Arabidopsis thaliana: one gene and its partners. The protein of the gene in region 1 binds, or shares a complex with, the protein of each later gene. Each region holds a gene or a part of one and is shown on either strand. Other genes may lie near its edges. The genes, in order: RPL24, AT2G43030, RPL4 and RPL27.

The links.
Region 2: RPL24 (region 1) and AT2G43030 share a complex: the UniProt entries of both Arabidopsis thaliana proteins name them as parts of the 50S ribosomal subunit.
Region 3: RPL24 (region 1) and RPL4 share a complex: the UniProt entries of both Arabidopsis thaliana proteins name them as parts of the 50S ribosomal subunit.
Region 4: RPL24 (region 1) and RPL27 share a complex: the UniProt entries of both Arabidopsis thaliana proteins name them as parts of the 50S ribosomal subunit.

The regions. Positions count from the first base shown.
Region 1 is NC_003076.8:22,181,129-22,185,140, forward strand, and holds RPL24 (Translation protein SH3-like family protein), read left to right. Parts: upstream 1-1,714; 5' UTR 1,715-1,917; coding exon 1,918-2,031; intron 2,032-2,531; coding exon 2,532-2,570; intron 2,571-2,743; coding exon 2,744-2,974; intron 2,975-3,062; coding exon 3,063-3,275; 3' UTR 3,276-3,482; downstream 3,483-4,012. Other genes in the region: CRLK1 (Protein kinase superfamily protein), read left to right, coding at 1-47, 277-403, 585-670, 757-828, 910-1,113, 1,208-1,570; ANK (ankyrin), read right to left, coding at 3,653-4,012. UniProt on the Arabidopsis thaliana protein: One of two assembly initiator proteins, it binds directly to the 5'-end of the 23S rRNA, where it nucleates assembly of the 50S subunit. Required for optimal plastid performance in terms of photosynthesis and growth.
Region 2 is NC_003071.7:17,892,978-17,896,389, forward strand, and holds AT2G43030 (Ribosomal protein L3 family protein), read left to right. Parts: upstream 1-1,818; 5' UTR 1,819-1,920; coding exon 1,921-2,736; 3' UTR 2,737-2,905; downstream 2,906-3,412. Other genes in the region: PAO2 (polyamine oxidase 2), read left to right, coding at 1-58, 173-258, 354-456, 547-644, 725-1,463; NPG1 (tetratricopeptide repeat (TPR)-containing protein), read right to left, coding at 3,072-3,400. UniProt on the Arabidopsis thaliana protein: One of the primary rRNA binding proteins, it binds directly near the 3'-end of the 23S rRNA, where it nucleates assembly of the 50S subunit.
Region 3 is NC_003070.9:2,247,171-2,251,064, forward strand, and holds RPL4 (ribosomal protein L4), read left to right. Parts: upstream 1-1,796; 5' UTR 1,797-2,019; coding exon 2,020-2,851; coding exon of another isoform or gene 2,852-2,856; exon of another isoform or gene 2,857-3,002; coding exon 3,003-3,019; 3' UTR 3,020-3,359; downstream 3,360-3,894. Other genes in the region: AT1G07310 (Calcium-dependent lipid-binding (CaLB domain) family protein), read right to left, coding at 605-1,663. UniProt on the Arabidopsis thaliana protein: This protein binds directly and specifically to 23S rRNA. May play a role in plastid transcriptional regulation.
Region 4 is NC_003076.8:16,408,796-16,412,620, reverse strand, and holds RPL27 (ribosomal protein large subunit 27), read right to left. Parts: upstream 1,840-3,825; 5' UTR 1,756-1,839; coding exon 1,453-1,755; intron 1,154-1,452; coding exon 1,052-1,153; intron 968-1,051; coding exon 776-967; 3' UTR 507-775; downstream 1-506.

The DNA of each region.
Region 1 (4,012 bases):
TTCTAGCCACTGATTCTAAACAGGGCGAAAAAGAGTTTCAGACAGAGGTAAGATATATCTATGGATTCATTTCCGAAGAACAAGTTAGTGTGTAAAACATGTAGCATTAGGCAGACTTTTAAGCATTACAATAGGCTTTCTGAAATCTCTAATACTCAATTTATTAGTTGTGTCATCTATAAGACAGGCTACATGAATGAACAATCTATATATCTTACTCTCTTAGTATCTGCTTAGTTTCTTGAAAAACTCATCCACTCGCCTTAATCTTTTCAGGTTATGTTATTGGGAAGGTTGCATCACCGTAACCTAGTGAACTTGATTGGATACTGTGCAGAGAAAGGCCAACACATGCTTATATATGTTTACATGAGTAAAGGAAGCTTAGCTTCTCATTTATACAGTAAGTAACTACCTGGTTATACATACCATATTAATCTGCTTGTCACTAAATGAACTGTTAATGCAATGTTGAGCTATTCGGTATCTTTGTAGAACATTTATTGAGTTGATGGTTTAGACTTCACTAAATGATGAGCCTTGGTAAAGATTTGAGATGCACTAAAATGGTACTTTTGATACAGGCGAAAAACATGAACCGCTGAGCTGGGATTTGAGAGTATATATTGCTTTAGACGTGGCACGTGGTCTAGAGTATCTTCATGATGGGGTAAGCTGCTTGCTAAAACCATTCACCATTTTAATGCATCTCTTAAACAACAACTTCAAAACTCATGTTCTAATCAATTGTTCCAGGCTGTTCCTCCTGTAATCCACAGAGATATCAAATCTTCCAACATCTTGCTGGATCAATCTATGAGAGCTCGGGTAAACATATCTTCTTTCTCTTTGAAATCTCAGTCTATTGAACCACCTCAAGTTTCTAATGGTGATCTTCTTTAACTTCAGGTTGCTGACTTTGGCCTCTCCAGAGAAGAAATGGTAGACAAACATGCAGCTAACATCAGAGGAACATTTGGCTACCTCGATCCCGAATACATTTCAACAAGAACATTCACCAAGAAAAGCGATGTCTATGGCTTCGGAGTTTTGCTTTTCGAGCTTATAGCAGGAAGAAATCCTCAACAAGGTCTAATGGAATTGGTTGAGCTGGTAACATAAAACTAAAAAGTCCTCGAAATCTCCAATTGTTTTGTTTGGAGAATTGCATGTAAAGACTAAACGTTTTGTTGTTGTTGATGAACAGGCGGCTATGAATGCAGAGGAAAAAGTCGGATGGGAAGAGATAGTAGATTCAAGATTAGATGGGAGATATGATTTACAAGAAGTGAATGAAGTAGCAGCTTTTGCTTACAAATGCATCTCTCGTGCACCTAGAAAACGTCCTAACATGAGGGACATTGTTCAGGTTTTGACTCGTGTTATTAAAGTGAGACATTGCAGAAAGCGGCAGAAGAATTCTCCGTCGCCGTCTCCACGGCTTCCTCCTCCTCCTCCGATAGTGGAGGAGTCAGAAGGTGAGTTAACTGCAAACGGATCATTACGATCAGAAATTCATCGGAGGGATAATTCCTTGGACAGTAGTATAGCTGAAGACGTGATTTTGTAAACAAAATGAAAAAAAAGTCTCAATTTTTTTAATTATTATTAACTTTTAAAATGTGATTTTGTTTTTCAATTCTTTTGGGTTTTTAGACGCTAGATTGTCTATATTTGTGAATGAAAATTTGTTCTTTGTTTTTTCGTGTTAAAACGAGTTCAAAACTGGAGAACCATATTATATATTTGGGCTATGAAAAGAATTGAATTCAAGGCCCAATTAAAACCTAGCCTAGCCCATTAAGGTTTAGTGATAATACAGTGTCGTTTAATCGTTTATCCAATTTTTATCGTCATCTGTGGAACGGATAGGACGAAGGAAAAAGAAGAAGAGTGAAAGTTGCAGAGCGAGAAAAAATGGCAACCATGTCTGCTCTTCAGAGCTCTTTTACTTCTCTTTCTCTATCTCCCAGCTCTTCCTTCCTCGGCCAGCGTTTAATTTCCCCGATTTCCCTCTCCGTCACTTCTCCGGTAACTTTAATTTTCGATTTCTGGTCAATTCAGGTTTTTAATCATTGTTCAAGCTTTTAGGTTATGTAGTTCACTTGTTTGCGTAATAGATTAGGTTCATGTCTTCGCTTTTCATATCCAAACCCATTTCATCAAGTAACTCTCAAATTGAATCTGTGTTGTTGCTCATTTTAAGTTTGAATTTTGCTTACTGGGATATAAAATTTTGTGCATTGTCTATGTTTAAGTGTAACTACTGAATTGAGATGAAAGTTATGAGGACTTAAAACGTCATCCTTTAGACTGATTGACTAGTTATTGGTTTGGAATCAATGGACTAGTACTTGTAAATGCTATACTTTTTAAACGAACGAAAATGTGCGTGTGATGGCTCACATTGAGTAAAGTGGCTATCTTGTTCATTTGGTTGTGATTTTTTGCATTTTCTTATGAAATGCAAAATAGCTGCAATAGGATATGGTTTCTTTGTTACTCTGCTGATTATTTTATACTCATTGCAGGTCAAGCCCGCTGAGAACCCATGTCTTGTTCTTGCAAAGGTTAGTCCACAGATCCATTACATTAACATTCTGCATTATTCGTTAATATACTAGCTTTGAAACCACAATAATTCTTTAGATTTTGTACACATCAAAAGCAAAAAGGAAAACTGTTGATAGATTCTTTTGAAACAATGAGATTGGAAGATGATTTATGTGTTTTGCGTTTTCAGCTCAAGCGTTGGGAACGAAAAGAATGCAAACCAAACAGTCTTCCGATTCTCCACAAAATGCATGTCAAGTTTGGAGATACAGTCAAAGTAATATCTGGACGCGACAAGGGTAAAATCGGAGAGGTTACTAAGATTTTCACTCACAACAGTACCATTGTGATCAAAGATGTGAACCTCAAAACAAAACACATGAAGAGCCGAGAAGAGGGAGAGCCTGGTCAAATTGTCAAGGTCAGAAATCATAGTTTTGTAGCTTTCCTTTACTTTGCAAGATTGGAGTGATGATTGAAGATTGTGCGAAATGTATTATGCTTTCCAGATAGAAGCACCTATCCACAGCTCAAATGTGATGTTGTATTCAAAAGAAAAAGACGTAGTAAGCCGGGTGGGTCACAAGGTACTTGAAGATGGACAGAAGGTAAGATATCTGATCAAAACAGGGGAACTCATCGACACCATTGAGAAGTGGAAGCTACTTAAGGAGGCTAAGGATAAGGAAACCACCCAAGTTGCAGTTACCTCCGCATCTTAGCGTCTCATTTCTTTCTTCTTCAGTGCACTTTTGATATAATAGACCTATGCATTGGATGGATGTATTGAATCCCTTTTAAGGTAAATTATAATATTTCTGCTCCCCTCATGAACACCTCTTAGCATGATTTAACATATTAATCGAACTAAAGCCGGGTACTCTTGAGTCTTGTCTATATCAATATTGATCGTTATTGACAATGTTAGACCGGCCTATCAAATAAACTGAACCAAAAACTAAACATATTAATGACTCCGCCATAACCTTAAGCACCTACAGTAATTTATTCAAAAGATACAATCTTTAAAATGAGTGCACGTTACAAAGTTAAAGCAAACAAAGTTTCGAGGGAACAAAGTGCAAACGCTTCAAAATGGTTAAACCATGTTCTTGAAGTTGTCAGAAATCAGGTCGCTTTTGGGTTTGCGTACCTTCATCTGCGTACACCGTTTCCACTTTACATATAATACCAGTAGATACACGAGGAATAAGCCCCCTTCATATATGATGAGGAAGAAGAATGAGAGACCATGCATCATGTACATCAAAAGGAAATAAGAGAAGACGAGGGGCACCGTAATAATGAAATACCACCACTCATATGCTCTGCCAACTGGTAAGAGAATAAATGAAAATAGGATAGCTATGGAAAACGCTACCGTATTGCATCCCCATAGTTGGAATTCCGAAAACCTCATACCATTCTTTTTAACTTTATCTAGTTTTTCTTTGTCTAG
Region 2 (3,412 bases), on another chromosome or scaffold:
AGTTCCTCAAGAATTGGTAACTCAGATTGGCGTAACGTTTGAGCGTATTTTGGAAGAGGTATGTCCTTCACATTCATTTAGATTTCTTCTTTATTCCTATTCTCGTATTTCTTGATGTTGCAAGTCTTTGATTGATGCTCATGCTAACTAGATTCGTCTATTGCAAACACAGATCAATAAAGTCAGGGATGAGCAGGATGCTGACATTTCAATTTCTCAGGCTTTCTCAATTGTCTTTTCTAGGAAACCCGAGCTGAGGTTTGTATACATAATGTCTCATTTTCTCAATTTCTTTAGGCAATGCACTTTTGCAAGCTTGGTTTCATGGTTGAATTTTGAATTTTCACATCCAGGTTAGAGGGGCTTGCACACAACGTACTTCAATGGTATGTATGCCGCATGGAAGGATGGTTTGCCGCAGATGCTGAAACCATCTCTGCAAAGTGTTGGGACCAGGTTAGTTACATTCTTTCTCTCGTAGTTAAGAGTTTTTTTTGTATAGACTGCTTCTTGAATTTTTGGTTTAACACTCCGAGAAATGTGCAGGAGGAATTGTTGCCTGGTGGACACGGTCTTATGGTTAGAGGGTATCGTCCTGTCATCAATACTCTGGCGAAAGGTCTTGATATCCGAGTAGGCCACAGGTAAGCTTTTGCGTTTTTCAAGAGTTATGGCATTCGTTTAGTGTTTCACAGTCATAACCTCGTGTTTCTCCTTCTCTCAGGGTTACTAAGATTGTCAGGCGGTACAATGGAGTGAAGGTAACGACAGAAAACGGGCAAACTTTTGTTGCGGATGCTGCAGTCATTGCTGTCCCTCTTGGAGTTTTAAAATCGGGAACCATAAAGTTCGAACCTAAGCTACCTGAGTGGAAACAAGAAGCAATCAACGACCTAGGAGTAGGTATTGAGAACAAGATCATACTACATTTTGAGAAAGTCTTTTGGCCGAAAGTAGAGTTTCTAGGAGTGGTAGCTGAAACCTCCTACGGTTGCAGTTATTTTTTGAACCTGCACAAGGCCACGGGTCATCCGGTTCTGGTTTACATGCCGGCTGGTCAGCTTGCCAAAGACATTGAGAAAATGTCTGATGAAGCAGCTGCAAATTTCGCCGTCTTGCAACTCCAGAGAATTCTTCCCGATGCATTGCCTCCGGTACAGTATCTCGTGTCGAGGTGGGGATCTGATGTGAATTCAATGGGATCTTATAGCTATGATATCGTGGGCAAACCTCATGATCTCTACGAGAGGCTTAGGGTTCCAGTGGATAACTTATTCTTTGCCGGTGAAGCGACGAGCTCGAGCTTCCCGGGCTCGGTTCACGGCGCTTATTCAACTGGATTGATGGCAGCTGAAGATTGTAGGATGCGAGTTCTGGAGCGGTATGGTGAGTTGGATCTGTTCCAGCCTGTGATGGGCGAGGAAGGACCTGCCTCTGTACCTCTTCTTATATCTCGTCTCTAAACTCCATCAGTTATCGTTTACTAGAAGGAACCTCAAGTGATGATTGTCTTAATATGAAACTAAAATTATTCTCGTGTCGGATCGTTTAAAACATTCCCAGTCTTATTTTCTCAGTGTTTTTAATTCAATAAATTGGAACATTATATCCTTGTGATATTATTTATATATGATAATCATCTTTAAGAATTCAAGTACTATTTTCTTTTCTCACTTGTGCTAACTAATATAAACACCAATCTTGAAAGAGGTTAAATTGAATACAATAAGAAGAAAAAATACAAAATGAATAAAATCAGATTTAAAGGACCGATGTTGCAAAAGGTAAACCACCGTGTTTTGTAAATATGAGTATCTTCAGCGGTATAATAATAAATTTCATAACTGGAGAAGAAGATAAGAGTGTGGCACAGAGCTTTATCCTCTCTCAGAGTTTCTTCTCCTCTGTGAATCTCCGACAATGGCGATAGCTATGGCGGTTGTTTCTTTCCCATCTCTGCTCAACAAAACAACCTTATCCTCTTCACTCTTCACTCCCACTTTCCTCCCGGCGAAATCCTCTTCACTTCTCATCAAATCATCACCAAAAACCAGATTCGTGGTTTCATCATCCATGGAAGCTGGAATCGGAGTAATGGGGTCAAAACTCGGGATGATGAGTTTCTTCGAAGAAGACGGCACAGTAGTTCCAGTAACAGTCGTCGGATTCCGCGAAGGTAACATCGTAACCCAAATCAAAACCCTAGCCACAGACGGTTACGACGCGGTTCAAATCGGTTACCGTCGTGTACGCGACAAAAAGCTAACTAAACCGGAAACCGGTCATCTCCAAAAAGCCGGTACAATCCCAATGAGACATCTCCAAGAGTTCAGATTAACAAACATCGAAGGATTCGAACCGAACCAGAAGCTTGTGTTCGATGAGATATTCAAAGAAGGTGATCTCGTTGATGTAGCTGGAACCACAATTGGTAAAGGGTTTCAAGGAGGAATCAAAAGGCATCATTTCAAGAGAGGTCAGATGACTCATGGTTCCAAGAGTCATCGAGCTTTGGGTTCGATTGGTGCTGGTACTACTCCGGGAAGAGTTTATAAAGGGAAGAAGATGCCTGGAAGAATGGGAGGGACGAGGACAAAGATTAGGAAGCTTAAGATTGTTAAAGTTGATAAGGAGCTTAATGTTGTCATGATCAAAGGTGCTTTGCCTGGTAAGCCTGGGAATCTTCTTCGTATTACTCCCGCTAAAATCGTCGGAGTTAACATTCCCAAGAACTAGTAGAGAAGAGACTCTGTTTTGTTTTGTAATGTTGACTTGTGTTTATCCATTCCTTGAAAATTTGTATCGAATTGCTAAATCACAGTTTCTTTCTTAGAATTGGAGTTTTTGTATAAGTCGGAAGTATTTCTATGCTAATGTTCTTGAATTGTGATTCAACTGCGATTACAAAACTCGAAAGCGTATCCAAAATTCAGCATCTAAAGTTCTAAACATAAAGAACTAACGAACAATGTAATATATATTTAGTTTGAAGAAATTAAGAAGGTTTAAAATTGTACATGAGATGACAGACAAAAAATGAACATATGAATATAAATCTTTATGATGGATTTTTAAAGAATGGTTGAGAAGCTTTCAATAGGATCAGACTCTTCAAGCATAGAAGCAGCTTGGAAGCAATCAGTAGCATCAGCTATACGTCCATCAGATTTATGAACCATTCCTAAGTAATACCAAGCTTTTCGGTTTGTTGGATCGATCCTCAATGCATCAGAGAGCAAACTTCTAGCCACGGGGAGAGTTGGCTGATGATCTTTCCCTCTTTCGGACAATAACGCTCCAACCGCTACTTTGCAAGGAACCGATGATCCGTCTAGTAATAAACCGTCCAAGAAAGCTGCTAGCGCGGGTTTGAACTCCTTTCGTCCTTCCCACATTCGACCTGATCATTCCC
Region 3 (3,894 bases), on another chromosome or scaffold:
AGCACCAACCGTGTACATACCATTTTACCCAAAACGATCAGAGAGAACATCTTTTCTGCACTGTGATGAGCATGATTCAAGACACATTAATCCAAACGCTCAATGAATATGGAGATCACTGGTTCCAAACGAAAATCACACATTGGTATCATCAAACATGAAATAAGAACCAAAGTCTTTAACCAGCCTGCAAAAATATTCGGCAGAATCGCAGGATATAGGACTGTTCATGTCTGAGACAGAGCATACTACCATACCTAATCAGAGCATGGTTCAAACAATAAATCAACAGTAAAGTGATTCACATTAGAACATTAACCCTAAGAACCCAATAGCTTGATTCAAGAAACTGAATGAAGGAAAGAAATGAGAGATGTTTTAGAAACATGTACAAAGGTACAGAAGGGGTAACACCGAATATCAGCTAGAAAGAAGCAACAAATCAATTCACAAACGAGACATACATATAGACATAACATATACTTCACCAAATTCATATTTTGTCATCAGCCATTTCCTGGTGTTCTAACACCAACAAATCTGATGATAAGTAAAGCCTTAGAAACGCCGCACACTTGTGAAATTCAACAACTTTTTGCCATCCTCAACATTCACGGCGATAATCACGGCCATAGCTGTAGTTTGGCCTAGCTCCGAAATCACTCTCAGACCTCTCTGCAGCAGCTCTCTCTTCCTCTAAGCTCAATCCACCCATCGTCTTCTGCAACTGCCTGTGATCATAAGGAGAGTAATCGACTGGTGCCGATGGACCATTAGGCACTCCGTAGCTAGACAATCGCGAGCCCATAGGTGGAGCTTGTGGCTTGTACTCGGTAACCAGAAAGGCATCAACGGGTGCTGAGGGCCCACTAGGCGGTGGACCGTAGTTAGAAAACCGAGGAGGAGCTAAAGGAGGCTGCTTGTGATCAATCGATGAGAAGGCATCAACGGGAGCAGATGGGCCACTTGGGAGGCCGTAATTGGAGGCACGATCGTACATTGAACGTGGTGGAGGAGGCGGATAATAATACCCGGAATAGTAGTGATCAGTGAATGCGTAAGGAGACGGAGACGGTGACTGTGAGAATTCTCTGTAGTCACGCTGAGGAGATGGAGCGGTGATCGGTGCTTGAGGAGGAGGAGGAGGAGGAGGGCTAGGGGAGTAATAATGGTTTCCTTGAGGGGCAGAATAGTAATCTAGTGGTTGAGATTGAGGACGTGGCGGAGGATGCTGCGGTGGAGGGATTGGTCTGTCTTTGATCGCGAGCTTCAAACGAATCTTCCCCTGTGGTCGACCCGATGGACGAACCAGCTCGAGCGAGTTGATCAATTCCGGAATCATTGACCCGTCCGAGTCAATCAAACGAGCTAGAGGAAACCTAACCGATCCGACGAGGGTTTTCGCCAGATCCGAAGAATTGGAATGAAAAACCTCGATGTTGAGGACCGATTCGTGGACAGATCGGGTGAGAGGAAGAGTAATCCGCTCGTTCCACACCGGTTTGATGGAGGAGGAATCATCGGAGCGGGTGGAGAGAGGGTGGTCTTGGTCAAGATACAGAACAACGTAGGGTTTCAGGTCACCGTTACGCCAGTTGACATTCTTCAGGTGCTTGGCAGAGACGACGGTGACAACCAGGTCGAGTGGCTCCGACGAAGTCATGAATACGGTGCGTTTCAAGACGAGACGGTGGCTTACGCGGTGGTCTTAGCTAACGTGCGCTCGTATCTCAAATATCTGTATCAAAGTCTCAGCTATCATCAACTATCATCGTTTTATCACAGAGTTTTATGTCTCAAAAAACCTGCTGGCTATATAAGAGGCTTTTGACTTTTGGAGTTTGACTCTTTCTTACTAGCGACAGCTGGAGTTATTCATGAACAGGATAGTTATATCCTTATGTCCAAACAGATGCATAAATTCTCACCAAGCACAAGATAGGCATTTGAAGAGTGGATAACACTTTCTCAGTCTTTCTTCTTCTTCTTCGTTGTGATAGGTCAGGTCAGGGAACAACAATGGCTTCTTCTGCAACAGCACCAAATTCGCTATCTTTCTTCTCATCTTCTCTCTTTTTATCCTCCTCTCACCAAATCCCTAAAACCTACATTTCCGTTTCAAAACTCGGCTCCGGCAGAGTCTCGAAGCCGCTTTCTGTCTCTTCCCAGCTAGCGACTCTACCGATTCTATCATTCGAAGGAGAGAAGGTCGGAGAGACGTATCTAGACCTCAAAGCGGCGCCGGAGGATACCGCGCGTGCCGTTGTGCACCGAGCCATCGTGACGGACCTGAATAACAAGCGGCGAGGTACTGCTTCCACACTGACTCGCGGTGAAGTTCGTGGTGGTGGAATTAAACCTTACTCACAGAAGAAAACTGGCCACGCGAGGCGTGGATCTCAGAGAACACCGTTACGTCCCGGTGGAGGTGTGGTGTTTGGGCCAAGACCTAAGGATTGGTCAATTAAAATCAATAGGAAGGAGAAGAAGCTAGCGATATCTACGGCGTTATCGAGTGCGGCATCTGCGGAAGGTGGTGCGATAGTGGTGGAGGAATTTGGGGAGAAGTTTGAGAAGCCCAAGACTAAAGATTTCTTAGCTGCGATGCAAAGGTGGGGATTGGATCCCAAGGAGAAAGCTATGTTCTTGATGATTGATGTGGATGAGAATGTGGCGAAATCGAGTAGGAACATTGGAACCTTGAGGATGTTGACGCCTAGGACACTGAATCTGTTTGATATTTTGAACGCTGATAAGCTTGTTCTGACTCCTGCGGCTGTGGAGTTCTTGAATGCGAGGTACGGTGTTGATGCGGTGGAGGAAGAAGATGACGATGAAGATGAGACGGAAGGTTAGTGTTTTCTTGAAAGGAACTGGCTTGTTGTCGAAATTTGATGTTTTGAATGTTGTGTTTGATCGTTTTTGTCTGGTTTTAATTTCTTGAAGAGGTAGAAATATGATGTGTTAATATGGAAAAGTAATTATTTGTTTGTGTTATGAAGGGTCAGAGGAAGCTTAAGAATGAGTAGCACCCGTAGTTCCAATTGCTTCAAGTGTGGCTTAATTATGAGTTTAATCTTGAGTACATCTTCTCACTCTCCTTGATGAGGTCTTCTCTTTCCTTTTTGTGTCACAACAAGAGAAATGTGTATTTACTTTTAGAGTTTTTCTTAAGAGATCATCCTCAATTTCTTGTCATACTGATTTTGTGTCCAACTCTCAATGAAGGAGTAAGGAGTGAAATTAGATATCATGAGTAACGTTGATTGTGTGTGTATCAGTTAAGATTGAGCAACAAAGATTGACTTTAGTCATCAAGTTAACAAGAAAGAGTGGCTATTATAAGCTTTAAGCGTTGATGTTCATCTTGGTTTTGAAAATCATGAATAGTCTCACACAAATCTGTTAACAACTTGCTAAAAAAAAGGATTAGCTAGAAAACTTAGGAAGTGTCAATAGTGTATGTTATTTACAGACATTTGATGGGTCTTGGTGGGCTTAAGAAGATAGCCCAATCTTTTGAAGAAAGAGATATGAGATGCAAAATCCATGAACTTTAAGGGTCAATTTCTGAACCAGTAAAAAATGTGGTTAAAAGTGTAAGAAAACAAGAATCTTTGGAAACATGTGTAAGAAAGCAACTAATTTAACTCCCGCCCTCTCTTACCAGTTTTCTATTTTGTCTTCTCCGTCCTTACCGTGTGTTCTGAAAACTGAAAAAGAACCAAAACGAAAATCTAAAAAAACCCTTGAAAAATCTATTTTTTATTGACTGGTTATTGTTTCAAATGAAAGCTTGACCTCTCTCTTATTGATCAATTTTCGCTTCTTCAATTAAACCATATTTGTTTTTCCCTTTCAAGCATTTTGATTCTCTAGGACAAAACACAAACC
Region 4 (3,825 bases), 5.8 Mb from region 1:
TCTCATCAATTACTATTTTTGCTCTAGGCCTTTAGTGTTATTCAATAATATATCGTCATCTTACATATATATATCGTTACATACATGTGTATAAGTATTTGACCTCAAGCTGGTGAAATATGGCCTAAAGATAACACAAAGGATCTAATATGGTACAGGTAAAACGTTAGCGAAATTGATGGATTCAAGATGAGCAAGATATAGATAAATGAAAAAAAAAAAACATAGAATAATAATTTCATTCCACTAATTATGCAATGATAGACGAAAATGAATATTATTCAATTTCTTTTTTGTACCACTATCTACATATTCCGAAATGCTAAGTAATTGGGCTAAAACCCATTATTTCGCTAGAAGGCCCATAAAGTCTTCGGCTTCTTAGACTAACAATGGATCCATTTTTGGGATCCAAATAAGTTTTATAATTTTTATAATAAAAAAACCTCAAATAGACACTTGAACTAGATTTATACTTGACTAAATCTAATTGGGGCATTCAAAGGTTTGGTGGTCTCTCTTATCAATGATTCAGAATTACTAAGTTGGAAGAGAAATTCACTAAATTAAAACCTTTGAGGCTTTGACTAATTAACAATAACCATTTGATTACACTAATAACTCAAGTTGGGTAAAAATCCGCCTGCTTGGGACTCAATTTGACAAAAGAGAGGCTTGGATTCGACAATACAACCAACTCTTAATACTCTGAAAGGATCATTTTTCATAAACAAGACTAAACAAAAAGAGACAAGGAAACTCCACATTCAATCTTCTAGCACTCCGGATTGGCTTCAGCATCATCGACTGAGGCAGATGCAAGAACAAGTTCTGGTGTAGGAAGTGTGTACGAGTAATTCTCGCGTCTCGCCTTCTTCTTCTCCCTTTGCAATCTGAAGTTTTCTCTCTTTCTTGCTCTGTAGCTATTGGGATTCTCTGGTACAATTTCTCTTGGATACACACTTATCTGCAAAAACAAGTCTCATTTCCTTTAACATCCTAGAAGATTAAGAAAGCTTATAAACCTTACTCAGTATAACTACAGGTATACCTTCTTCCTGTCAGGACCAAACTTCTCGAACTTGACTAATCCATCGATTAAAGAGAAGATGGTATGATCTTTACCAATCCCAACATTTTTCCCAGCATGGAACTGCACCAAACATCACCATTCATGAATCAATCTTCTCAAACAATATAGTTCCATCCTAAACACAAACATAACGTAGAACTTCCAGAGAAATGGCAATGGCATCAGAAACAAGAGCTACTAAATACGAAAATTCATCCTAAACCCAGATGTGTTCGAGAATGGAATCTGAAAACAGAGCTTGAGAGCTAAACCCATAAGAAACTGACCAAATTGACAGAGTTGCGGTGAAATTAGAAGAGAATTGAAAGAGGAGCTTAAGAGGTTCTCAATTTCAACAATTCTGTGTTCTTAAGTGTTACCTTAGTGCCACGTTGACGAACAATGATAGCACCAGGTTTAGCAACTTGGTCACCGTAGATCTTGACGCCGAGTCGTTGCCCAGGAGAATCACGACCGTTCTTGGTGCTACCAGCTCCTTTCTTATGGGCCGATTCAATTGTCAACGGAATCGGAGCTTGAAGATTTTCCAGAGGAAGAGTCACCGTGAAAGAGGTTTTGGGGGAAAAACTCAAATCGCCTCTAAGAAAAGACGAAGTCGAAGAAAGAGACAAGCCTTTGAATGCCCCAATTAGATTCAAACTCATCGATGTTGCCATCGCCATTGGTAAAATCACCAGAGAATTCGTTGGAGTTTCGAAATGGAGAAATTAGGGTTTTCTGAGGTTGAAGAAGAAGTTCTTCTCCTTATCGTTTCGTCTCACTCTCTCGATTAGTGACCACTAAAATTACACGTCATCAAATAATGTAAGATAAGGTGAGTACACGTCAGCAAGTAAATAATGGAAAAAGAGAAAAAAGTGAATGTTGACAGTGGGATTTGAACCCACGCCCTTTCGGACCAGAACCTTAATCTGGCGCCTTAGACCAACTCGGCCATATCAACTTGTTGTATAAAATATTAAATCTAAATATATAGACTACAGTTTCAAATATTCATTATATAGTAGAAATTTCTCAGATAAAAACAAAAACCAAACTTAGAATAATAATATGCAAGAAGCAGCCAAAAATAATTATAGACTTTAGCTATAATATTAAAACATAAATTAGGATTTATACTGACAATGTCACTCTAAAAATTATTTTTACATTGGCGGAAAAATGTAATTTTCTGATTTGGCAAAAAAAAAATATTATTTGATTTTGACATGTTTTTACAGTTTTGACCGAAAATTAAAAATTATATTATTTGAGTTTCATAGACTGTCTAGTTGGTTAGAGGAGAAAAAAGTATTATGAACAAGATGAGAGATCACTATGACTCTCCTGTCATTAGTAGCAAGCCTTAAATAATGTTTGGAGATTTTAATGAGATTTTAGAACTTGTGGAGCATTCTAGAGCTGAAGACAACCCTATTATACCAATGGAATGAGAGACTTTCAATCAGTGGTAAACTATTGCTTTGTTTGAGACCTATCATCCCATGGTCCGCTGTATACTTGGTGTAATAAGCGAGAAAATGATCTTATCTTAAAGAAGTTGGATAGAGTTATAGAGACATGGACACAAACTTTTCTTTTTGATTGGATGGAAAGTCATAGGAGAGTTATAGTGATCTCTCATCTCTACTAATTGTTTATGGTTTTCATATTTATTGACAAAAGTATCTTTCAAAGACCTTCATTGTTCTTGAAATTCGACGATGAAGGTCTTTGGAACGGTAAATGGTAATTGGTTGTTTATTCTCTTTTAGTTATGTTTTCTATATTTTCATTTCTTTCTGCCTTCAAAAGAATTTGATATCATGTCTGTTTCCTATTCAATTTGCCTACTAATGATTCTCTCTCATAGAATTATTGTGAACAGCCACTAAAATATTTTTACCATAATCGACATGCTTTCTTATCATAAGTCACTACACCTACTTGGAAATGAACACTGGATTGTTTGAAACAAATGCATATTTCGAAGGTTGAGTTAGAAAGTGATGTAAGATACTTATGCAAAAACTTAAGAGTAAGTCTTGCTAATCATCCAAAAGACCATGAGAAAATAACATTTTTATGTCGAAAGGGGAGGATTCTCTTTGTGCTCCCTCTGCCAATAAAGAGGCAAAACCAATATAGCTAGAAACCTAGCAATGTTCTTAAGAACGAAATATATAGCAAAGTCATTGGCTCCAATCCTTTTTGGATTTGGGTAGACCCATGTAATTACTAGGATCCGGATTAGTTATATGTTAACCATGTAAAAACTATGTTAAATAATTAAGAAATTAAATGTCCATTATCAAATTAAACTTCATCTGTTTTTCATTATACTGAAAATTACAAAACTAAAAATAAAGCAAGTAAGCAAAATCTAAAAATCCTCGTCAAGCTTGAAGACATGATCATCATTAAACGCAGCGTTTCCATGAACACTAGACATAACAGAAGCTTTCTGATACTCACCAACTCTCTTCTCAAAAAAGTTGGTCTTACCCTGAAGCGAAATCAATTCCATCCAATCAAAAGGATTAGTCACACCATACACCTTACCACACCCAAGCGCAGCCAACAACCTATCAGCAACGAACTCAATGTACTGACTCATCAACTCACGATTCATCCCAACCAAGGCACAAGAAAGCGCGTCACAAACAAACTCTCTCTCAATCTCAACAGCATCACAAACAATCGCTTTCAAACGATCTTCATCAAACTTAGTTCTAAGAAGACTATATATCAAA